3 linked regions of the Oreochromis niloticus genome follow. The protein of the gene in region 3 interacts with the protein of the main gene of each other region in a biochemical or structural test. Links are inferred from orthologs where the notes say so. Each region holds a gene or a part of one and is shown on either strand. Other genes may lie near its edges.

The links.
Region 1: of the proteins of cdc34b (region 3) and uba1, one has a biochemical effect on the other in vitro, tested with the Homo sapiens proteins (7 studies listed by BioGRID, with this or other methods). The link is inferred for Oreochromis niloticus from reciprocal best matches to the Homo sapiens genes CDC34 and UBA1.
Region 2: the proteins of cdc34b (region 3) and skp2 form a complex in vitro, tested with the Homo sapiens proteins (3 studies listed by BioGRID, with this or other methods). The link is inferred for Oreochromis niloticus from reciprocal best matches to the Homo sapiens genes CDC34 and SKP2.

The regions. Positions count from the first base shown.
Region 1 is NC_031984.2:18,166,378-18,174,635, reverse strand, and holds the start of uba1 (ubiquitin-like modifier-activating enzyme 1), read left to right. Parts: upstream 1-5,139; 5' UTR 5,140-5,363; intron 5,364-6,773; exon of another isoform or gene 6,774-7,012; intron 7,013-8,258. Other genes in the region: camkvl (caM kinase-like vesicle-associated, like), read left to right, coding at 1-74, 341-419, 497-584, 876-884, 2,115-3,605. UniProt on the Homo sapiens protein: Catalyzes the first step in ubiquitin conjugation to mark cellular proteins for degradation through the ubiquitin-proteasome system.
Region 2 is NC_031972.2:8,165,780-8,173,188, reverse strand, and holds the start of skp2 (S-phase kinase-associated protein 2), read left to right. Parts: upstream 1-4,332; 5' UTR 4,333-4,484; coding exon 4,485-4,498; intron 4,499-5,091; coding exon 5,092-5,339; intron 5,340-5,430; coding exon 5,431-5,542; intron 5,543-5,929; coding exon 5,930-6,073; intron 6,074-6,282; coding exon 6,283-6,417; intron 6,418-6,743; coding exon 6,744-6,842; intron 6,843-6,933; coding exon 6,934-7,061; intron 7,062-7,345; coding exon 7,346-7,397; intron 7,398-7,409. UniProt on the Homo sapiens protein: Substrate recognition component of a SCF (SKP1-CUL1-F-box protein) E3 ubiquitin-protein ligase complex which mediates the ubiquitination and subsequent proteasomal degradation of target proteins involved in cell cycle progression, signal transduction and transcription.
Region 3 is NC_031982.2:12,765,477-12,773,521, forward strand, and holds the start of cdc34b (cell division cycle 34 homolog b), read left to right. Parts: upstream 1-4,612; 5' UTR 4,613-5,234; coding exon 5,235-5,420; intron 5,421-5,536; coding exon 5,537-5,623; intron 5,624-6,039; coding exon 6,040-6,137; intron 6,138-6,939; coding exon 6,940-7,074; intron 7,075-7,678; coding exon 7,679-7,889; 3' UTR 7,890-8,045. Other genes in the region: splicing factor Cactin, read right to left, coding at 1,100-1,262, 1,418-1,563, 1,738-1,833, 1,927-2,530, 3,663-3,967. UniProt on the Homo sapiens protein: E2 ubiquitin-conjugating enzyme that accepts ubiquitin from an E1 ubiquitin-activating protein, and catalyzes its covalent attachment to other proteins by an E3 ubiquitin-protein ligase complex. In vitro catalyzes 'Lys-48'-linked polyubiquitination.

The sequences.
Region 1 (8,258 bases), on a different chromosome or scaffold from region 3:
CATCATTTTCTGCCGGATTGTTGCTGGGGATTTTGAGTTTGATTCTCCGTACTGGGATGACATTTCACCTGCAGGTATAAAACTCCACCACATGGTGGCAGTGAATACTGTACTTTCTTTCTTAATATGACAGTTTATCAGTAAACTTAATTTAGAGCATCATTAGGTAAAACATTTTGTGCCACTTTGTCATTTTTATCAAAATTGCCATCGTCATGAAATACTTTGCAGAGCGAAACTGAAAACAGCACAGAATGTTTTATGTTTTCGCTTTTTAAAGACTGCATATATGATTTCTTAAGATGCCTCATTTGCCTTTTCGTTTCTCTCTCTCTTTCAGCTAAGGAGCTTGTCTGTCGCCTGATGGAAGTGGACCAGATGCTGAGAATCACAGCACAAGATGCGCTTTACCATGAGTGGTAATCATGTGCACATACTGACAATAGCAACAAAAGTCTTGGCACACAGCTACATTTACTTGTATGTTGTGTCTCAGGATTGCAGGGAACGGTGCATCAGAAAAGAACCTGAAGGATGGCGTGTGTGCCCAGTTTGAAAAGAACTTTGCAAAGGCCAAATGGCGGGTATGTATTCACTCCTGCTCTGTAAATGTGAGATTAAATGAAGTTGGAAATAATAGCAGCAGAGGAATATTGGAGGAGAAACCAGATGAAGACCAGGGTCTTAATGTGCTTTTAGCTCGTAACACAACTCAGCAGAGGTATGTTTAAAGTCTGTGAATGACATGGTGGAACTGATAAGGCGATCCAGGGATGAGACTGGTGAAGACAAAGAAGGAAAGTGGTGGCAATGCTAACCTAACAGCTTAAGTAACAGCAACAATCCTCTTCTCTCTTTCTCCATGTGGTTCCCAGGAATTAAAGGTATTGTTTTTCATTCTGAAGGACAGTGGAAGGGCAGAGCGTGGGGAGAAACTCACATTTAGTCCAGAATGACTCAATAACGCATCTCTCTGATAGCCAAATATGCTTTTAAGTTAAAAAGAGATTTTTATCAGAACCTATCTCTATAAAAATCAGTTTGGAAAAAATGTTATATTAAATGTTAAACCCAAGTCAGCTTTGAGATGTATTGATCATGTCAGGGGCCGTTGAAACTCTTCCCAAGCTCTGTTCCTGCCCACTGTCACTCTGCCTGTCCCAGAAGAGATCCATCCACTCTGCCCCACTTTTTGTCATTGGATTACACCCAGATGTTCAAAGTGGCCTGCTCTACTCCTTTCCTTCTCCTCATCTGCACTAGTTTATGAATCCAGATCTGCAAATGTGAGATAAGCAACAGAGAAGCAAGTTTTTTTTTCTTCACTACTTTTGTAGTATTTAAATTAGTGTAGATAAGGAGAGGGTTAAATGGAAAGGACAAAAGGGTTCTTAGCCACTGTGAACTTATGAACTGCCGTGATTTATACTGTAAGGCCCTCTGGCATTCCTCTTACGTGAATCCTGGCCCATTGTCCCATACTGTTGTTACATTTAAATCATTTTTGAAGCAATACTAAAGCTTCTCAGTTAAGAGATATTGTTTTCTGTAGCATTTTTGTGTCCTAGTGGCTTTTCACTTCCAGAGAATTCAAGGGAATTCGTTTCCCTGGTTTATTAGCAGTTATTAAGCTCACACATTCCCCCCTGACTCCTTCAGTGTTTGTAGAGCAGAAGGAATCAGATCGGTGTAACATTTATAAGAAGGGGATTTATACACATTTGCTTGATTACTTTTTCCAGTCAGCAAGCACTCAAGGAGTTTCTTGGGGAGGGTGAGACTTGAGATTGATTTAAACCAGGGCACAATATGTCATAGCCTTCTGGAAGTAAACAACCGGCACTAATCTACCTTCATGTCACACAAATCATATCTCAGCTCTTAGTACGAAGTTGCTAAAATCATGGTGTGTTGACAGGCTTTTTTGTCAAATGCTTGTCCTTGAAGCTTATTTTTTAAGCTTTTCCATAACTATGTTATCAAAGTATTTATTTTTTTTAGCGGGGGGGGAAGAGGAAATATATTTTAACGAAAATTAAATGTGCTGCAGATCTCATTCTTTTCATTCTAACCATCCTTCTCTTGTTTTTCTTCTACTTCTGTCTGTTTCGCAGAAAGCGATCCGTGTCACCACATTCATGCAACGCCTGAAGAATTCAGAAGCATTGATTGATAGCTCTGCTGAGGTTCAGGGTAGTGAGGAGGCAGGGGATGGTGAAGGGGGTGCGTCGCAGGGAACAAGTGATGAGGGAGAGAAAGGGACGAGTGATGGTGGGGTGACATCAAGTAGTGTGTCTTTAGAAGTTACTATTGAGAGTATGCCCTCTGGTATGGACCAGAGTAAAGAGACAGTTAAGGCTGGAGAAAAACAAGAGGAGGTAAAGATGCATATAGGCCCATCTGTAGGAACTTCGCCATCAGGTGTAGAGGACCTTTTCTGTCAATCAAATGCGGTCCCCAACTGTACCCAGGAACAGCCTGACAAGGTTGGTGTAAAGAAAGGAGCAGGTGACGGAACCAGGAAAATGGCTGCAAATTTGGGCCAAAATAAAGTTGTTCCAGAATTCAAACAGACGCCTGCGGTGAGCCCTGAGGCCTCAAAGCTATTAGACAGCACTTCGGGCATTAATCTTGACAAAAAACACATATCGTCCTCCCCTGATCCCAGCAGCAAATGTAAAATGGCTGCAACACTTCATGCCCCTTCACACACAGCATCCGCTGTTGCATCAGCCTCACCGCTGAAGAGACCAGTCACACAAAGCGAGCAAAAGGATGAGACTGACGGAAGTTGGTGTCAGACACAAATACCTGAAGCGGTGGCAGAGAAGTCTGTGGTGGCGCCAGTCACTCCAGCAGTGGGGCCAGGTACAGGGGTGGATGGAGGACTAGGAGTCAGGCTAAGGGGCGATGCCAGTCCAGTAGATAGGCAGGACAGGAATGCCAGAAGAACAGATAGATACAGCGCTGAGTTTAGCATACCAAGAGCAGGTGCTACACCGGGACAGGCTTGCTATGCAGTTGGAAGCTCTGCTAGCTTGGGCCGTCATGCCACACCATACAATCCAGAGGTTGGGGCTATGGGGATGGGGATGGCTGGGAGCTATGGGAGTCCATACAGTTCCCTGTATACAAGTGGAGGAGGTGTAGGGAGGTATGGAACTGGGCTACAGCACAGTGGGGGGAGCAGCACTTCAAGCGATTGGCAAATGGACAGTGTGATCGAGCAGATAGAAAAGCAAATGGCTGCTGTGCTGGAGAAGATCGAGGGAGACATGCCGTCGCTCCTAGAGCAAATCAGTGACTGTCCTGCTGAGCAACCTCGAGCTCGGAGCACACACGCCTCTCCCGCCACCTCTCGTGCACGCCCCTCACAGCGGTCCACATCTGCAACCACCGGCACCCCACCACCACTTCCTACCTCTCCCAGACCTGTGCTGCCATCTCTTCCTCGCATTAGCATTCCTCCTCCTGCCTATCCCCCACCATCTCCACCCACAGAAGCCTCACCCCAGGCGCTGGGAGAGCAGGAAGACAGAGATGTACAGGCGGCTCCTGCTCATTCAAGCCAGTCACCAAGACCTGGGATAGGCAGGGGACTATGAGGCAGGTGTGCATGATGCAATACACAAAGGCAAAAATACCTGGAACACTGTATTCATAGTTAAACTTAAGGATTTAATGACTGTCTCACCCAGAAGGACTGCCTAATTGTGCGCAAAAAGAGAAGTTATTACACTGTTGTTTGGTTTGGCTGCATATTCATACCAGATGACCCTACGCCCTTCTGACATTCCAAACACTTTCATCACTGGAGTCTAGAGGGATTGGAGTACAATATATATATTTCTGTATGACAGCTTCACAGATCAAGATCTTAAAAGTTTGTTAAGATCTAAAGAAAGTATGCTAAATCCAGATTGTGTGCCTAAATGTTTACCACACAACGACCTCATATGGAAATCCAAGCACTCAACAAATTTCCAAGTTATGAAGCTGCACAAATAAGAATGGCGAAATTCTCAACTAACAGTGAAAGAAAAGATCTAAATAAAGTATTATACCCTAAAAACTGTAAATAAACAAAATCAAACTAGGTTCCTAAGTCATATTTTTCTTCCATGGTGTGAACTTCCAAAGTGACATTTACTTGTTTTTTTTGTTCAAAGCAGATCGTCCCATGATTTATTTTTGGGGGGTTACTATGTATTTATGTGGCTATTTATTCTGTTGTGATGCTTGGTGTCACAAAGTTGTACAGAAATATGTGAAACTGATTTGATAAAGCCATTCCCCTGGTTGCAAGAAATTAAAATTTGTTTTATTAAACAGTATATTTAAACTTAAACTGTCACTTAGACTTATGAGTTGTTCCACATCTGTCAGAGAGCTGGGGAAAATATACTGTATAAAGGCTTTGCAATAACACGGTAACACTTACATTTTCTCTCCTTTTTCCCCCAAACATTTCCAGATAGTTTGTTTTCGTTTGCTCCAGTTTTGTCAGCACATTCATTTGGTACCGTTAACTGGACAATCCTGCCTATTTTATCCTTTTCATCATAAAACTGTTCTGACTTTTGTTCTGCTATTGGGTGTATGTAATACCAGATTCTGTGCTTTTCTCCTGAACAAGTCTAGATCTCCACTATTCTGTCCCTATGTAAAATGTGCACTGTTTGCAAGTCTTTCAATAAAAGTAAGCCAGTAAATACATGCATATATATTGAGTTGTTTAAAATCATTTGATCACTCTTCAAAAAAACATTTTAGAATTACAGCCGTGTTTTGTTGTTTTGTTTTTTACGTGCTTAATCAACATTTATCCAAAAGGCAGATTTCTGACAGGCGTTCTATTATATTATCCTATATGCCTACAAGTCCCATAAGGCACTGCGTGAACTTCGGTTTAGTCCATGGTTGTAAGGCTACGGGGGTAACAAAAGTAGTCTTGTTTCTAAATATACAACTAAACCACAGAGCAGTGTAATATTCAGTACGCTTTATCTTGTGGATGGGATGTGTGAACGTTAACGATTAATTAAAAGACAGAGCAGACACAAACCAATCTTATTCATTTTCAATTAACCCCAAGACCCGGAATGATGGTTGTGCCTGTAACGTGCACATGTTGCTGCTTTGCTTTGCTTTCAACTGAAATAGAGTGAGGGGAAACGGGTTGGGAACAGCCGGACAGGCAGCCGTCCAGCGGAAAAAACTCACACAGAGCCCGCCACCGTGACACACTTTTCACTTTGCAGTCAGTGGCGGTGTTGAATTGTCACCTTGGTTGTTGTTTTTCTTTGCTTAAGCAGAAGCCGATTTTTAATACTCCAGATCAGGCCGAGTAAATATCGGATGTGGTAAGTTCTGCACACTTGTGTAAGCTCTCGTCCTGGTGATGTTAGCCTCAGCTAGTTTGCTAATGTTAGCTAGTTAGCTAACATAGCGGCACAAGAAGGGGAAAAAGTCGCTGGGTGGCTAGATAGCTCGAAAGCTAGCCGCACACAAGCTAACAACTACGCAGTCTTTTGATGTGCGTTATCGGTAGTCGTTAATGTTAGTTGCAGACGGCTGAGCGAACCATTTAAGCTCCTTGCTCCGCTAACGGTAGCTAACAAGGCACTGACACGTAACTGTTAACGGCAAATTAGCATTTGCACGTTTTTATGTGCACGGGGTTGCTGCTTTAATTAATGTTAGGCGATAAATAACGTTAATGGTAGCTAGAAGGCTAGTTGCTTCAAACATTTGATGGATACTACGTTGAAAGACAGACACGAGCTAACTGGCATCACGAGCGTACATGCTGGCACTATTTTTTTTCCTCGTATATCTGATTGTATATGTAGGGTTCCCGTTTCGATGGCACGTTATCGGCGTTATCACAGTAACCTAACCTAACACTGGCTAGTCTCTCTGTTTAGCTTGTCAAGTTAGGCAGCCTATTATTCGGACATCATTGATATTCGTATGCTTCAGTTCAAAGGGAACGGTGTAATACTAGGGTCTTAAGCATTTTCTAGTTGGAAGATGAGAATAGGGGATCACCTCGACATGTGTACCCGAGTATATGCGGCCCACTCTTTTTTTTTTTTCCTGGGCCTTTGTCATTTACTAGGCACCCCCTCCCCCAATACTCTTCTGCAAGGAGTGCTCACCCCTAACCTCAATGTGACTAAAAGGCCCAGACGCTCAGCATCACTAGCTAATAAGGATCGTACACTATCCGACTTGAGTAGTGATGATAATTGCTGAATTCAGAAAATAGTCAAAACAATTGGTGTGTTAAGTGGAATGTAGCAAATTGTGCTCCAGTGAGAGTATATCCAATGGAGTTGTAAAATGTGTTCTTTATGATGGTGCATTGTTGCAAGTTTGGTGTTCAGCTTTGTTTATGGAGTTCACATGAAGATGACTGATCCTTGCTAATCTGCCTCTGAAACAAAGGTGTTGTTACTGATGAGTTACATTCAGCTCCGTTAAGGGAGAATCCTTTCATGCAATGATCTCAGACATACCCGGAGTTATTTATTTATTTTTTTTCATTAAGTGTTGTTTTTTTTCACTAGATTATTGGAGATCCTACTGTTCATTGTACAGTAAGATACTTGGCATGCATCCTCTCGTAGCGAGGGCGGGATCAACGCGCTTTAGCTTGGGCTTGAAGAGCCAATGAGCCGAGGACCTGGATGAGCAGCGTGCTTGCAACCACCCTTTCCTGTTGAATATTTCAGCCCCTGCGTCACAGCTCCTCCGCCCCTTTCTCCCCATCTGCCATTTTGGTTTTGTTCCTGTCTGCAGTCGCAAAGCCAGCAGCGCAATTACATAGGAGAGACTATCGGCACAACGACATAGTGACTCGACAATATAGTGCAGACCACCCCAATTCCGCATCGCGTTTCTTTTCTCTGTACAAATCGTCGAATATACAATCAGCGTTTTTACTGACAGCTACACACAGCAGGAGAGGAGCGGGTTCGCATTGGGAAGGGACCGAGAAGGATTATTGGTAAGGAAAGGGAAATCAATGGAGCACGAGTGTAGTGGCTTGGCTTGTATTCGTAGTGTTTATGTTAAGTGACAAAGTTAAATTGTGCTTTTTGTTAGATGCCTAGACATTAACCCATGTCCATATAGAAGCTGTGGTAGACGCCTGTCAAATCCGTTGCTCTCCAGTGCGAGAAGGTCGGTTGGAGTGTAGCCACAGCTGCTAGCTTGTAAAATTGTGTTCCGCACTGAGGGTAATGCAGGCCTAGGCCGAGCTGCTAATGGATAAGCTGACAAGCTGGTGTTTTCTTCCCTCTAAGTTATTAATGTTTAGACTCTGTCCACTTGCCAAATCACTTAACCGATTAGTGGTTCGGAACCTACTTAGTTTTCTATTGGTGCTGTTATCTGACAGTTAATTTATATTTTTCTACACATTGAGATCTTTAAATCGACTGCTACCCGTTAACGTTTTCTAGTAGGATTGGCAAACTACTGTAACAGCCGGGCGGCTTTGCTGTATCATGCCGGACGCCTTCATTTTCGGTTTTGACAAGCGAGACCGTTCGGTTAACGGTGATATGAAAGCTATTTTAGGCTGGTTGCAGTCGTATGAAAATTTGCCCAGGTGTCCTCATGATTTAAAGTCGTAGAGAGGGTTATAAACTGATACGTGTGCCTTGGGAAATGCACGGAAGTTGGCGCCGCATTGGATGCGGAAATTGTGCCCGATTTTTTTTCTTTTCTTTTTTTTGTGCGCCTAGAATGTATTTGAAAAATACTGCGGCCCTCCCGAGTGCAGAGGTTTATCGCGACTATTGCGTTGCGTCAGAAATCTAAATGCATAAGTAAATGCATTGCTATTAAATGTTGCTGTTTAGAGCTTTCTTGTAACATCGCCATCTACAACTTAGTTGCAGCACAGCATGGTCCTTGTGTCCGCACCTGCCAGCCATTGTGTGGTATTGCTCAGTTTACCGCAGTGAACTTTTAATGATTCAGCTCTTTTCCTTGAAACGATGTTGGGTGTCCATAAATACCAGGAAAATAAACAAAAGAAGTATCTAAACAAACCTGTGCTTTCTGTGAGCATGAAAGAACCGGTAATGCTATTCGTCTCTTCCCAGCCTCAGTTCGTTTTCTAGCAGATTTGTGTTTGGCCTGAAGCCAGCCCAGCTGCTCTCTAGGCTAAAAATCCTCTCTTCAAAATGAGGGGGACTGGTTAGCCTTTAGTTTAGGTACTTATTATAATGGAACCATAGCAGTGA
Region 2 (7,409 bases), on a different chromosome or scaffold from region 3:
CACCCCTCAGCGTATTTATTTTCTCTGTCTTCCTTTGTTGGAGCGTCTGTTAACCTACCCATGTGTCTCTATGTCCCATGTGTTTAGTTGGATTTCTTATTTTGTGTTTTGTCAATCAGCCTGAATAAGCAGTTTGTCTTTTGTTCAAGTTACTTCCTGCTTCCATTGTCTGCATTTGTGTTCTCACTCTCTGCTCCACACCATCTGCTGCTGCAGATCTTGACATAAACTCAGATCTGCTACATGTGTCTCGGTTTGTTTAGCTAGACATCTGCTCTTTACCACTGAATCACAAACCTATCAACAGGACAGGGATCAAACACATAGAAAGATATCAATCTGAGGGAATATGCAAATATAGTTATACAATTGTATCACTTAGATAACAATGATAATTTAAATTAAAATGCTATGTCTGGGGAGCACATGTGAAGACAATAGAAATGGAACCACTATTGTAGCTTCAGGAATTTCATCATATGAAAAAGTTGCAGCAGTTGGATGTTACTTTCTGAATCAGGATAAGGTTTTGGCAAGAAATAACTACTTAGAAAAACCTGTCAGTTTGGAATATTCTTAAGTATGCATCAAAATTATTAACCAAACCAAGATATTGTCCAGTCTCAGAGTGTGGAACCGTGCTCACTAGACTATGTAATTTTTTGCATAATAGTTAGGGATAGTTGCTGCTGCCCAAACTTGATCCAATGTATTGTCTGCTGTAAGTTAGGGTCACAAAATTACATTCTTTTAAAAACATACTTATCTTGTATTAAAAAAATACACAGAGACTTTTTTTTTTGTAACTGAGGGCTTTTATTTTGAACATTTCACATTTTTAAAGCATACTAGTCTTCCAATAAGAAAGTTTTATTTTGAAAATCTGACACACCTTGTCCCTCCTGTCAGTCATTGTCAGGGTCTGGGACTGTTACCTTAGTGCACAACTGCGTGTATGTGTGAGAACGAGGGAGAAAGGTCAATAGTTATAAATAACAGCGTACGCACATATGACCTGAGGTGGAATTACATCATTTTTTCCAAACTATAAATATTTGTGCTTCCCATACTTATATATCCATACTCAAAATCACAGACAGCCTCTGAGACACTGTTAGATGGATAAATCAGTGCGCCCCAGGGCAGCTGTGGCTACAATGTAGCTTGCCATCACCAGTGTGTGAATGTGTGTGAGAACGGGTGAATGACTGAATGTAGTGTGAAGCGCTTTGGGGTCCTTAGGGACTAAGTAAAGCGCTATACAAGTACAGGCCATTTACCATTTACCATAAATAACTTTAAATAGGTTGAAATGTGTGTGTGGAACAGACTGAAATGGAGGCAAATGACATGTTGCGGCGACCCCTAAAGGGAGAAGTCGAAAGAAGGGGATTAGTGGGAGACATGTATATATTTGAGCCTGTATGGTTTAGAGAATATCCAGAATATTTCTGAAGAGCGTGTGAGAGAGTAGATTAGGCAAACATTCGGGATGGACTTCCAGCTGGCACACCAAACAGGATTCACTACGAAGAATGAGCGGTAAGCAGGTAAGCACTGGTCATCTGGTAAAAAGCTGCGGGAGTCCTTCATCTGACATGAAGAAAAGGAAACTTTATAGCTGTTCCATCCACCAACATCTGTTTTACTCAGAGAAAAACCTCCAGTAAGTCTCAAAAAGTTGTATTAAAATATGCAGATGAACTATTAACTTAGTCTGATACTATGTTTAAATTATACAGCTTGATCATGGCTGACAGCAGCTGTCCTATTTTACATGGAAGGGAACAGGGGTGATAGTAAAGAAGGGCATGATGTATACTAGACCATATTAATTTCAAGGCTTTCATAACAATTTTTAGATTGAAAGTGAAATAATATAAATTGCATTAATATTTAAAATATAAAAATAAAAGCTCTTGTACAAGCAAAAAAATAAATAAAACACACATGGGGCAATAAAACACTTGGCCACTGACCTGATGGTTGTTAGGTTGGACACTGAATTATTGTTAATATTAATTAACGTCAATCAACGTTGCGATTTGGTGCCATTTAAATTAAATTTAATTGAATGGAAAAAAGCCAACTTTGTTTACATAAGTATATCATATAAGATCAGTCGCTGAAAATTTTAATAGTGTTGAATATCAACACTTTAAAATGGCACAATTCTGACCTCTTGAGCTACAATGAATGTTACATAATATCAAATAAACTGGTTCGAACATGCTCACTCTTGAGTCATTAAACACGGAAAACCTATAACTGAATAAAAGATGCTTTCTACAGTCATGTTTTGGTCCAATATTGCTGGTGAAGCCTCCTGAAACTCTCTGGTGTTATAGGAGTTATTCAAATTCAAAATAATTTACTTCTTCAGAAAGAACTTAAAATAATATTTGTTTGAATGCATTAATCTGATTTAGTGTCAGAGGCTCATCAGTTCATAAACTTCATCCATACTAAAGCAAATAAATAAATAATAAAGGAACACGTTGAAAACACCTTAGATCTCAATGAGAAAAAAATCATGCTGCCTCTACATCTATACTGATGTGGATGTAATGTGTTAGGAACCAAAAAATACCACACGGTTTGATGGCAATGAAAATGATTAACCTACAAAGTGCTGAATTCAAAGACACCCTGAAAAGTATAGTAAAAAAATGATCTTACTTAGGAACGTTCCTAGCTACTAATTTCTTACTCAACTAATTGAGAAATTACACTAACCGACTAGTCTAAAAGTAAGAAACACTCAGATATTTAGTTAAATTTGAGAATCGTTTCGATAAAAGTTAAAATCTAAAACCACAAAACAATAAATCATCTAGCCATTTTCTTCCCCTTATCTGAAGTCAGTCGTGGGGACAGCAGGGAAGCCCTCCCTTTTGCCACCTCCTCCAAGCTTATCCGGGAACACATCCAGCCTTTCCCAGATCAGCCTATAGATATGATCTCTCCAGGGTGTCCCGGTTCAGCACCGGGGCCTCCTCCCAGTAGGACATGTCTGGCCAGAAAACCTTATCCATTCGGGAAAAGCCTTAGCCGTTTCCTTTTGATGTGGAAGAATAGTGGCTCTATTCTGAACCCTGTCACTAAGGGAAAGCCCACCTTTAGGAGAAAGCTATTTTCTGCCATTTGTATCTGCAGTGTCATTCTAATAGCAAAAAGATCAGGGCTATATTAAGTTATGTATGGTGTTTCTCAACAACCGTCTGGTGGCAAATGGCTGCATAACATTTAGGACAACAACTAGTAAGTTTGGTACCAACTAGTGACAATAGCGCGATTAGTCGACTAGTCGCACACATCCCTAATCTTACTTCATACGTCTTTTGACCCAGTTGGTAACACAAGTGCTTCCCTGCTTTATTAAAGCACGACTAAGGAAAAAGACCTGCTAATAATCAGGACCTATTACCTACTGCCTTAAAAATACAATTTTTCTTCTTCTTTCATTTATAACAGCAGCTTGCATCCAACGATGTTGTACTACTGCCATCTCCTGGGTTTTACTGCTACATCACTTCCATACCCTTAGATCCTGTTGATGGCTGTGTCCCAATCCGGCGACCGCACGCTTCGGAGTACGCGCAGTTCGCGTACTATGAGTCCAGTATTTCTCAAAAAACAAAGTCTTTCCTTTCCCTTCATCATGACTCAACTGATCAACCACCATTTCAAACTTGGGTTCGGTAGTACTACCCATTTCTACCCTCAACATTCTCCTTTGACTGACATACTTCCTGCAGCTAAAAAGCACATGTTCAATCGTTTCCAGAGCATTACACCGATTACATAAACCAGTAAGATGTTTCCGCATCCTAAAAAGAGTGCCATCTAGAAAACAATGACCTCTTCTTATTCTACGTATAATTATAATTACCTCCTCCTGCCTACTTACACCTCTATTTCTTGTAACGTGAACTGTTTTGTACTTTATATAAATGTCTCCCTTTTACTTCATTACCCCGCGCCATTTCCCATAAATTCTTACTTTCTTTCCAAACGTTTCCCTTCAGAATTCGACAACGGTATCTGCATATCAATATCTACTTTTTTAATAGCTTCTTTGGCCAACCTATCTGCTCTTTCATTACCCACAATACCTATATGAGCGGGAGTCCACATTATTACTATATTTTTGCTTTGTTCACACACAAAATCTACGATTTTTCAATACTTAACAATGCTAACAATGAATCACTATTATTACTTTTGAAATTATGTCTTCCACCCGTTCTAAAGCCAATAATATGGCACATAACTCTACTGCATATATACTCAAAAAACTGCCACCTGGCGAAATCCCTAATGCGTATGACGTAACGCGATGTACGTGCAGGCACGTCCGTGACGTAACGAAAAGAGGGCGCCCCAGTGTTGGCGGCGAATTTAAAGAGTCTCGGTTGGAGGGCTGCGATCCAAACAGTCTTGCACTTTTTGTGTAGGATCGCACTTGTTTCGAGTTGAAGGAAATGCCAGGCGACAGGTATCGTTCTCAGTGGTTCTTACATTCTGTTACTAAAAATATTTGAGGTATAGCGGTGCATAAGTTATCTCTGAGATGTGTTGCACATGTGAAAATGAGCCGCCATCCCAAGGCTAGCTTGGTGCTGTTTAACTGTCCCAACTCAAAACTGTGCTTTCCATTTCTAAAGCGGTGTGAACAAGGCGGAATTATGCGAAATTGTGTGTTCGGTAAACCGCCGGCGTCTTAGCGTAGTTAGTGTAAACTGTACCGATAGCGCGCTTTCTCCCCAGCGCTTTCCCTCCACGCCTGTCAGCGGCTCTTTTCTTCCCGGGGTACACACTGTAAGCTAACCGCGGAGCAGGAGTGGACGTCCTGGACCACCTGCATGTGTCTGTGTACTGAAAGACAGGAGACAGTGTTTGTCGTTTGGTTTTGCAGTCAGTTTGCGCGGTCACACCGCTGGTAGCTACATCAATATGGCGGGCATGGAGGGGTTCTTTAGAGGAAGCTAGGCCGCTAAGTAGCCTTTCTGTGGGGTGTTCGTGTAAGACAGCATGATGAAGCCTTGTTTAACCATGCCCACATGTCTGATTAACTTCTGCTTCCAACAGTGTCCCACTGCAGGATCGTCCCTGCCTTAGTCTGCAGGACTCCATGCTGACTCAGCCCAAGAAAAGCAACAAATGCAAGTCCAGAGGCATTCTCAGCGAGGGCCTGGACACTGAGTGGACCCCAACAGATCTCATCCTGCAGTTCACACCACCGCGCAAGAAACAGCGGCTCTTCAGCAAGGGGAAGGAGAATGACAGCAATCAATTTGTTCTTGGCAGGAGATCAAGGAGGAAAGACCCCTCACCAAGTAGGAGGAGATGGTTTTCTGAGGTTTAAGATGAGGACTTTCACCTGTGATCAACTTAACTTTTTTTCCCCCTTTCTCCTTCCCTCTGCAGACATTTCATGGGATCAACTACCAGACGAGGTTGTTCTTAGGATTTTCTTCTGCCTCCCTCTCCAGGACCTCGTCAGAATATCTGTAGTTTGCAAGCGCTGGCAACGTTTGGCGTGAGTCATAATGATCATTAACAAAATCTCTGGCCCTGCTTCTTCCCGCTTGAAATTTTTTTTTTTTTAAGTGCGGGGCGGATCCTAAAGATTGAGTTTGCATACTTCAAACCACTCCTCTGGTTCTTTCTCACATCTGTGTGTTTAAACTCGTGACACTTATCAGAGTATTCAAAAATATGGAAATCTGTGGCTACATTCAAAAGTATTAAATTCTGACAAACTGGTAGATAGACGAGTTTGTGCTGCTTAATATTCTCAATGACACACACAATGGAAACCCACATTCACATTTAACAGAACGGGTTGCTGTGTGCAGGTTATTTACTGCAGGCTTCTGTAGGGGTTTGCCTCCATGACACCTCTTTGCTTGTCCATTCATCACAGGTTTGACGAGTCTCTGTGGCACAGTGTGGATCTAGAGGGGATGACCCACACTGGTCTGGCTCTGCAGCAGGTGCTGAGGACTGGCATCCGCAGACTGCGCTGCCCTCGCTCCTTTGTGGAAGAGTTGCACTTGACATACAGAGGGTTAGTCACATATATCATGGTGTGTCCTGATTTTCTTCTTCACTGGAAGACTTACTCTGAGTTTTCCTTGCCTGTGAAAATCTAATGAAAACTATCTAATGTCTAATGTTTAATTCTCCTCCACACCACAGAGCTCTATTAAGTATTAAGTTCTGTGGCACTTATTAAGTGGAAAAAAAATGCTCTTTTCTTTCTTTTCCATTATCCAGCTCTTTGCAGGTGGTTCAAATGGATCTGTCAAACTCAGTCATACCCACGTTGGCTCTGGAAGACCTCATCTGTCGCTGCAGACTGCTAGAATGTCTGAGCCTGGAGGGTCTGCAGCTCTCTGACACCATCATCAGGTGAGATCTGAACTATTTGCTACTGATTAGTGTAGCAGGGATGTCACTGATTCCCAGTGTCTTTGCAGCTGCTTTTCTCTTCTCAAAAAGATGTCTGAGCTTTTCATGACCTCAGATGCTGAGGGAAACATGTCAGTGATGCTGTTTGTAGCAGAGCCTCATCAGAGGTGGAAAAGTCGTGCTGTAACTGTTGATTGTAAACTGGCAAAGCACTAAATTCTTCTCAGTAAATGCATTTTCTGAATCTGTTTCAGCTTAAATCTGTACTGTGTGTTTGGAGCTCATGTTTGGGTGTATTTGTTAATCTCTTTTTCTCTCTCACTCAGCTGTCTGGCAAAGAACACCCGCCTACAGGAGCTCAACCTCAGCGGCTGCTCCGCCTTCTCTGCTCCTGCGCTCGCTAGGATGCTGAAATCCTGTTCCCGGTCAGCTGCTCAGTCCTTTATTCACTTTGTAACCACAGTTTCAGTTTCTCCTCTTCCTCAGATTTACTCATGCTCTGATTTTGTGTTTCAGTATACAACAGCTGAACTTATCATGGTGCACCTTTGATAATAATCACATAAAGAGCGTCGTTGATAATCTGAGTTCTAGTGTTACACATCTCAACCTCAGCGGTTACAGAGAGAGCCTCACCCTAAATGGTGAGTGGTGGAGATCTTCAAGTCACTGATTTCAACACTAACAAACACAGCTGGTTTGTCCTTAATGATGTAACACATAACAAATTGCATAATGATACAGTAATTTATGATTCACTTGACAGCTTGAAGAGTAACACTGAGGGTGCGTACTGCTGAAGTGAAATTAGTTTGTGAAAACTGTATATGGATAGATCGATCTAGATATAGATCTATATCTTAAAGATTGTTTGAGTTGATCATTCTGACAGTGTCTGACGTGTGTCTGTGTCATTTCTCATTTTTAGATGTGAAGGTGCTGGTGGAAAAATGCCCCCAGATTAAAACTCTAGATTTGAGGTAAAAGTTTAG
Region 3 (8,045 bases):
GTTCAATTTCAATTCTCTATCAAGATGATCCCACACTGCTTCAATAATGTTAAGCTGGGAAGGCCGATCGATAGTGTGTTTGGGATCACTGTCATGAAGCCGTTGCCAATCAGATGCCTTCCAGCATTTTTTTTTTCCTGTTGATAATTCAATTAATTCTGACTTCCTGTCCAACACCACTGGTTGAAAAGCAGCCCCAAACTATGACAGAGAGCCCACCATGTTTTGCAGAATGTTGTAGACACTCAGTGTTAGACGACCTCTGTACATGTTAATGACAATTTGAACGAAAAACTTCAAATTTGGATTCATTACTTTACAAGACCTTTTGAACAGATTCCGTCCAGTTCTTGTGTAATTTGGTATACCTAACTCACTCCTCCCTGTTTCACTTTCTTCCTGCCACCCTTCCACTGAGACAGCTCTTGACTGAAGTAAAGAAATGTGCTGTGGAGTAACAAAGTGCCTGAAGATTCAATTTCAAATTGGTTATTTGCCAAGTTGTCTACCGATGATAAACATGGCACAGATTCATCCCTTGCGCAAGGTCTCTTTTTATGCTTGAATGATTCATGGTGGCTTAACAAAGATTCCTCTGAGAAAGGTCAGGTACAAGAACTGGACTGAAAATAAGCAAAATAGATGCCAGTGATCAAGGAAGAGCACTGAAAGGCCTTCAGGAAACCTGGAGAACTATTGCTCAAGAGCACTTAAAAAATGTCAAGAGCACTTGACATCTGGAAGCAAAATATAAAGAAAAATATACAGAAACAGGGGATAGTTTAAGAATTTTGCACAGTGCTATAACGTGAGGCTTCATAACAGTAGCTCATAACGCAGTGGGTGATGTTATGTTTTACATAAAGTCTAAGCTTTACACTACAAATTGAGCTGGGTTTTTAATATTGTATTTGTGTATGGGCATATTATGAAACACTGTATACTCACATATTTTTATTTAACCCTAATAATCACAAATCACATTTAAAGATGATACAGTTACTGGGTAAAACACACAAACAAAAGTGCAGGTTCACACTCTTAAATCGGTCCTTTCGTAAACAGAACTTTTACACTTTATTTAAGCACATCTACAAACCTTTATGTCCTCTAGCAAGTCGTCCATGTCAGTGACCGTGAGCCCATTGAGGAACGTGTATGGTTCGTGCATTTCCACTGCCAAATCATCATCTTCTGCACTGATGTACTTCGCCAGGAGGTCAATCGGCTTCGCACGGCCGTCACGAATTCTAATCTTAGACCTGCAGAGACAAAGCACAAGGGTGTGAAGCAGGGTTAATTAGATAAATAGATGTAGAAGGTGGAAGTTTAAACAAACTGATCCAATCATAGTGGAGTACATAAGAATCCTCAGAGGTATGAAAAGGGAGATTGTTAATATAAGAGCCACACTAACCTTAGTTTGGCTTGATGCAGATGGAAGTTGTCTTCCTGTTCAGCCCAGGTCTTGAAATATTCTGCCTCTTTCTCTCTCTGCAGCATTTCCAGCTCCTGCTCTCTCATGGCCTTCTCTCGCTCCCGCTCCAGACGCAGCTGCTTCACCTACATCAACATAAAGTTGGTGTATAAATATGTCGCTCCCAATCTCTAATCTTAAAACTGATCCTCTATGTTTTGCCTGGGAACTGAAATTCCATCCTTTTTTTAAGCATTTGTATAAAAAGTCAGGTACTGTGTGAGCACTAATGTGGAAGATTTTCATCCCACAGTTCTTACCTTCTGCAGCTCTCTGCGGTTCTCTTCCTGAATACATTTGTTCCTTTCTTTGAGCTCTTTCTCTCCGAGATGACCAATACCTTTCTTATCTAATGCCTGAGGAAGCAAAAAGAACCATGGATGGGATACAAGGTCTCAAAGGCAGGTTATGACAGGCAAATATCCAAACTTTTGCAGTCAGGAACTCACCTTTTGCCATTTAAATGTTCCCAATAAGTTGTTGTCCCCAAAAGGATTGTCTGCATTGGTGTATCCCAGGTATTCCTCACTCCAGCCCATTTTCTCTCTCCTTTTCTTCTCCTTTGCTTCCTTCTTTGCCAACCTTCTGGCCCTCTTCTCCTCTGGTGTCTCAAGAGCTTTCATCATCTCCTTCTGTTTTTTCCTCTCCTCCTTTTCCTTGACTGCGCCTGTCTCGCAATCAGACTCTGAGCTCTCAGATGATTCACTCGAACTGAAGCGCTGCTTGCCTCTGCCCCAGTCAGACTTCTCTTGGCTTCTCTTACTCCTCCCGCGCTCCCTGTCTTCACTTTTCTTCCTTCGCTCTCGACTTTTGTCTCTGTCTCTGCTGCTGTTCTTGTGCCTCTCTTTCTCTCTGTCCCACTCCCTCCTCTGTCTGTCTCTTGGTGGACTCCCTCTCTCGGCACTCCTTCTTCTTCTCCTTTCTCTGTCGCCGCTCCCATCACGGGAGTCAGAACTGGACTGGGATCTTCCCTTTCTCCTCTCTTGGGATGTTGTTCTACGACTCTCCTGTTCCTTTCTCCTCCTTCTCATTTTGGTATTATCTGAATCAGGACTGAGACAGAAAGTGTGATTTAATACAGTGACTGCAGGAATACAATATTAACTACAGAAGAACCACATAAGAGGAATCTCTGAAAGTGAAGTCCTGTTGAATACAGTTAAAAACCGATTTATTTATTTATATGCAATGGAGTTACCATAACAAGTTGATATAGGGATTATATCTACAGCAGCTCTTTTCATTCACATAAAGCCTAACACTAACGTCACTGAACATCAGCATCGCTATCGGTTGATTGGATTACTGTGCAGCAGCCTGGCACTCAACCAAGGATGGGTTGAGTGCTGTAACATCATTACAGCAATATACTGTGCACACATCCCTTTTGTAATATTTTATGACTGAAGTGACAACAAGCATCATGTTGTACAATGATTTAAACCCTACATCCAATCAACAATCACACAGAACAACAAAAGATTCAATTCAGAAATATAATTTGCTTTTCAAAAAAGAAGGGTAATTTAAATTTGATTCCAGCAATACATTTTTAAAAAGCTGATACTAGGAATAGAAAAACCTGGTGATCAAAGAAGATGCCTTCTCCTCAGGGAGGAGACCCCGAGCTAGACCCAGAACCCACTGAAGAGATTATACATCTCACTTTGCCTGGAAACGCCTCAGTATCTCCCAGCAAGGACTGGAAAGTGTTGCTTGGGAGAAGGATGTCTGGAATACCCTGCTTAGGCTGCTGCCATTACAACCTTTGGATGATTGATTGATGGATAGACAGAATATCTACGAAGGTCTCATTGGCATGTTGCCTTCTAGCAAGCAATACTGCGCCACACGCACTGGTGGTACTGGTGGTAATGGTGGTTCTTCAAATAATAAAACAACAGACACATCTTTTTTCTTCCTTTTTTGAAGTAAGGCTTTGCTCAGTTCTGCAAGTCAACATTAAATTATATTTAGCGCCTATGCAAAAGCATAGATGCATGCTGATTCCTGGAATTCCCCCCAAAAAGAATAGTTTTTGTTGATGTCCTTTCGCTGTCGCAAAGCGGACAGAAAAACGTTACGTTTACGGAGTCACTCGATGTGTTCAAATGAGGCCTGCTACTACCATCATAATATATAAAATCCCAAGTAAGCAGCCAACTCCGCTTCGTAAAGCGATTACCTTGATGACCGACCCTTCGACCTGTTCCTCTGACGGTGAGTCTCTCGCCTCCGGTCGCTCTCCGAGCCGCTGCTAGAACCAGAGCGGCCCCTGTGCTGAGGCCGACGTCGGGCCGGAGAGCCATCGCTGGAGTCCCGACTGCCGGATCTTCCCCTACCACGAGCGGCCCTTTTCCTGTCGGCAGACCGACTGCGGTCTCTCCTCTCATCTGGAGATCTAGACTTGTTTCCTCTTGACTTGTTCGGCCGATCTCGGCTCCGACTTCTGGACCTGGAGCGAGTCCGACGTCGAGACTTGGAACTCATTGCGAAGTTTCTCTCAATAGGGGGTCCCAACACCAGTATGTCGCATAAATAAGATGTAACAAAGGGGACTTTCTAAAACATATTATGTTTGCGCCAGGTTAAGCTGCATTGGAACGTTTAAAAAGCAAATAATGTCAATATTTCACATTTTCAGGTCATATTCTAAAAAATAAAATATAAAATAAAACCGTTATATTTTTAACTAGATAACGGGGCAGCAAAAAGCCCCGCTCGAAGGGGCTTTCTGTAAAATGGCGCGTATTATTTACGTCACGAGAACCTTGAGAAAAATAAACTAGAAACAAATTCCCCGTTGTTTATATGAAATCCGCACCCCTCCTCGGAGTACCATCTGAATACAACTGAGAACCGTCAGTGTACTGAAATAATTTCAGGGTGAAAACAGCTCAGAAGCACGAACAATATTTGGCGTTTTTGTGACGTCAGAAAGTGGCAAATGCAGTTCCCTAAATTCCCTCTCAAATAAAATGTTAAAGAAATAGTCTCTAAAGGCTGTTATTTTTTTCCTGGATAAATTTAATTTTATATAAACTTATGTAATAAGATAGTTAACTGCGTCACCGTACGCCTTCTTTGCTTTTCTAAAGGGGAAAAATAATGTTGACAGGTGGAAACTGGACTACAAATCCCGCAATCACAGGGCGCCATTGCCTGTTTGTAGAGGAAAGGGGACTCCTTTCAGCAACATTCTTCTCTATCCTGTCTTCTCTTATGGCTGTATGAGCTATATTTTCCGGCTGTTGCCGTAAAGAATTCATGGGTTTGGGTATATAGGTGTGTTTTCTGTCCTAGCCTGGCTCTTGTATGCGGTTAGGAAGTATTCGCGCCGCGCTAAGATCGGCTCGATCTGGTCGGTGAGGTAGGGCTTGTTAGCTAGCTCCTATTAGCCTACAGCTATCAGTAGATTTACGGCTTATATCCGCGGCTGTTCTGCCAGGTAGATCAGCTAAAGCTGGAGGCGCGGGTCTGACACAATGGTCGGTCAGTTGCAGATTTCTCTGAGTGTTGACATTGGTAAATAATTCCTCTGTTTCGGGGACAGATCAACGCCACCTTTGTTTGGCTCGAGCACAGCCTGACACGTTTGGCCTGTTTTATTGTCTCGGTACTGTTGTTGTTGTTTTCGGGGTAGGCTGCTTGGCTCATTAGGCTAACTTTGCCGTGTTCGCGTGAACAGAAGGAAGCAGTCCACTGTTCACTCCAGAATATCCTGACAGCCACCCAGACCACCAGCAACAACAACATTATGGCGCAACCCGACGCCCCTCATGTAGCCAGTTCACAGAAAGCACTCATGCTGGAACTGAAGAGCCTTCAGGAGGAGCCCGTGGAGGGATTCAAAATAACACTGGTGGACGAGGCTGATTTATACAACTGGGAAGTGGCCATTTTTGGACCACCAAACACTCACTATGAAGGGGGATATTTCAAGGTAAGAAAGCCAAAGTTGTGTGATTACTTCACTCAATGTAGTACAATACACAGGCTTTACTGAATGAATAAAGGTTGCCACACAATTCAAGCCCCAAAGGTCTCTTTTTGTCCTAGGCTCGGATCAAGTTTCCTCTAGACTACCCTTACTCCCCTCCGGCTTTCCGCTTCCTCACCAAGATGTGGCACCCCAACATCTATGAGGTAACAACATGACATACTTGTATGCCCTCCCACTGCTGTTTGTGATGGGAGCAGCTGTCCTAGGCTTGGCTCATGATTCATATGATCAAATACCACTTGCATCATGGGGCCCATTAGACCCATTTAAAAAAAAATGTTTGTTTGTTTGTTATTGAAGCCTGGCAGTTAATTGATTGACTGCCAGCAACCTTAAGGTGTTCAACCCAGCTGAAAACCACAGGCGATCAAGCTTCATAATCTCTCCATTAGGAGAGGTTGGCTTTTTTTTTTTATTTTTTTTATTTTTTTTATGTTTTGTGTAGTGTATTTAGTATTTTTATACAGGACTTTATCAGATTCTTGTTTTTAAAAAAGTCTATAACTAAATTTGACTGAATCACATTTGAAGGAGCTTTCTTTTCCCCTGTGTCTTTTAGAATGGAGATGTGTGTATTTCTATACTGCACCCTCCAGTGGACGACCCACAGAGCGGAGAGCTCCCTTCAGAGAGATGGAATCCCACCCAGAACGTCCGGTTAGCACTCCCTCATTATCTCTCTCATGTCTCTCCTTTCTTGGGTACCTCCCTTCTTTGTCCTTTCTCAGCCACTTCAATAATTTACCTGAGTCAGAGTCTTATCGCATGACATTCGTCTTCATTGGCTTCTTTTTACTTGTATCTAGAAACTGAATCCATATGTGGGCATTCAATGTATTATACACCTTGTTAGTTAAAGCAGTTTGAGTTGCCTCTTGTTTTTTTGCAGTATGGAGGCATTATCAGTCAGTAGGAAGAGGAAGATACCCTCTTTTATACTGTTTTATTATAGTAGAAGTGCATTATTATGCATTGCTTTCAGAGCACAAGTTATTACACAAAAATACAAACGTCACCATTTCTGAACATGCTGAACATTCAGTGACAGTCTTAGGACAACAATCCTCCTCAACCTTGTTTAAATAACATTTACAAAGGCGTAGAGAGGTCTGTTTTAATCAAAACACAGTCCAGTGTTCTAGTTGCTCATTGTTTTATCCAGTGCAAATTACCTGACTGTCGTTTACAGCATTTTTGAACAATTTAAAATAATCTATTATCTACCAGAATAATTAGCATTTAAATCCATACTGAGAGACTCTTTATCCATATTTCTAAATTCACCCAATACTAAAATAAAATGTAATTTTTAAAAAAATTAACATAAGGGAGAAAGTAGAAATTCCTTCTTTTTTTTTTTTTTTCTTTTTTTTTCCTTTTTGTTTAAATTCACATAACTTGTGTGTTCGTGTCCTGCAGTAGATGCCACGCTGACTGCCACCTTTGTGTTTGCTTCCAGGACCATTCTGCTGAGTGTGATCTCACTGCTGAATGAACCCAACACCTTTTCTCCTGCCAATGTGGACGCGTCTGTCATGTACCGCAAATGGAGAGACAGCAAAGGCAAAGACCGGGAATACGTGGAGATCATCAGGTAAACAGTTTGCATGATTCACAGTTAAAAGAAATGGTATAAACTCACTCGCAAAACAAAAGTAATTTCATGTCAGAAGATGTATCTCATAGTTGTAGAGAAGATTTTACTGATTCAGAGGGTCAAACTAATGCCCTGCATCAAGCAGAGAAATACAGCTGTATTGATTGTTGAAACAGCTAAAACTGTCCAGTGCATTATTAAAACTTGGTGAACCGCCATTCTTCTGGGAATAAATATGTTCAGAAAATAAAAATCCTGAATGATCAAAGCTGGAGTTCACTTAAACATTTGGCAAAATCAAATTGCCCAAATTGTGAAAGAGTGTTAGCAAATCCACTGCAGGTGTTTTTAAGTACCTTGGAGGCGACCTAACCAGATGACTGTTGTGGGTGTGTGGACTCTGTACTCTGAATGTTACTTGTAAAACATTCATAGCATGAAGGTAAAATTTTGCACAGCTTCATTCATTTAGCAAAAGATCAGCTGACTGTTGGCGGATAAGGTGGGAACTTTTCTTCAGATTTGGTTGATCTTTTATGGAAAGACAGAAAATAATAAATCTCCAGCTGTTTGTAATAACGCCACTCTGATCTCCCCTCAGAAAACAAGTGTTGGCTACCAAAGCTGAAGCTGAGCGCGATGGCGTGAAAGTGCCCACTACGCTGGCGGAGTACTGCGTCCGCACACGTGCCCCAGCCCCCGATGAAGGTTCCGACCTGTTCTATGACTATTGCTACGACGAAGACGACGTGGAAGGCGAGGATGGCGACTGTTGCTATGACGAAGACGACTCGGGCAATGAGGAGTCCTGACGTGCTTTTTTGCGGCACCCCGATCTTAGCTGACGTGTGCTACCCCTCCTCTCTCTGCCCGGGTTGCCAGATATTCTAGGTTTACAACCAAGAAAGATTGGAAGCTTCCCTCCTCTAAACCAACACAGAGCTTTTTTCCTCTCGCCTCTGAATGCG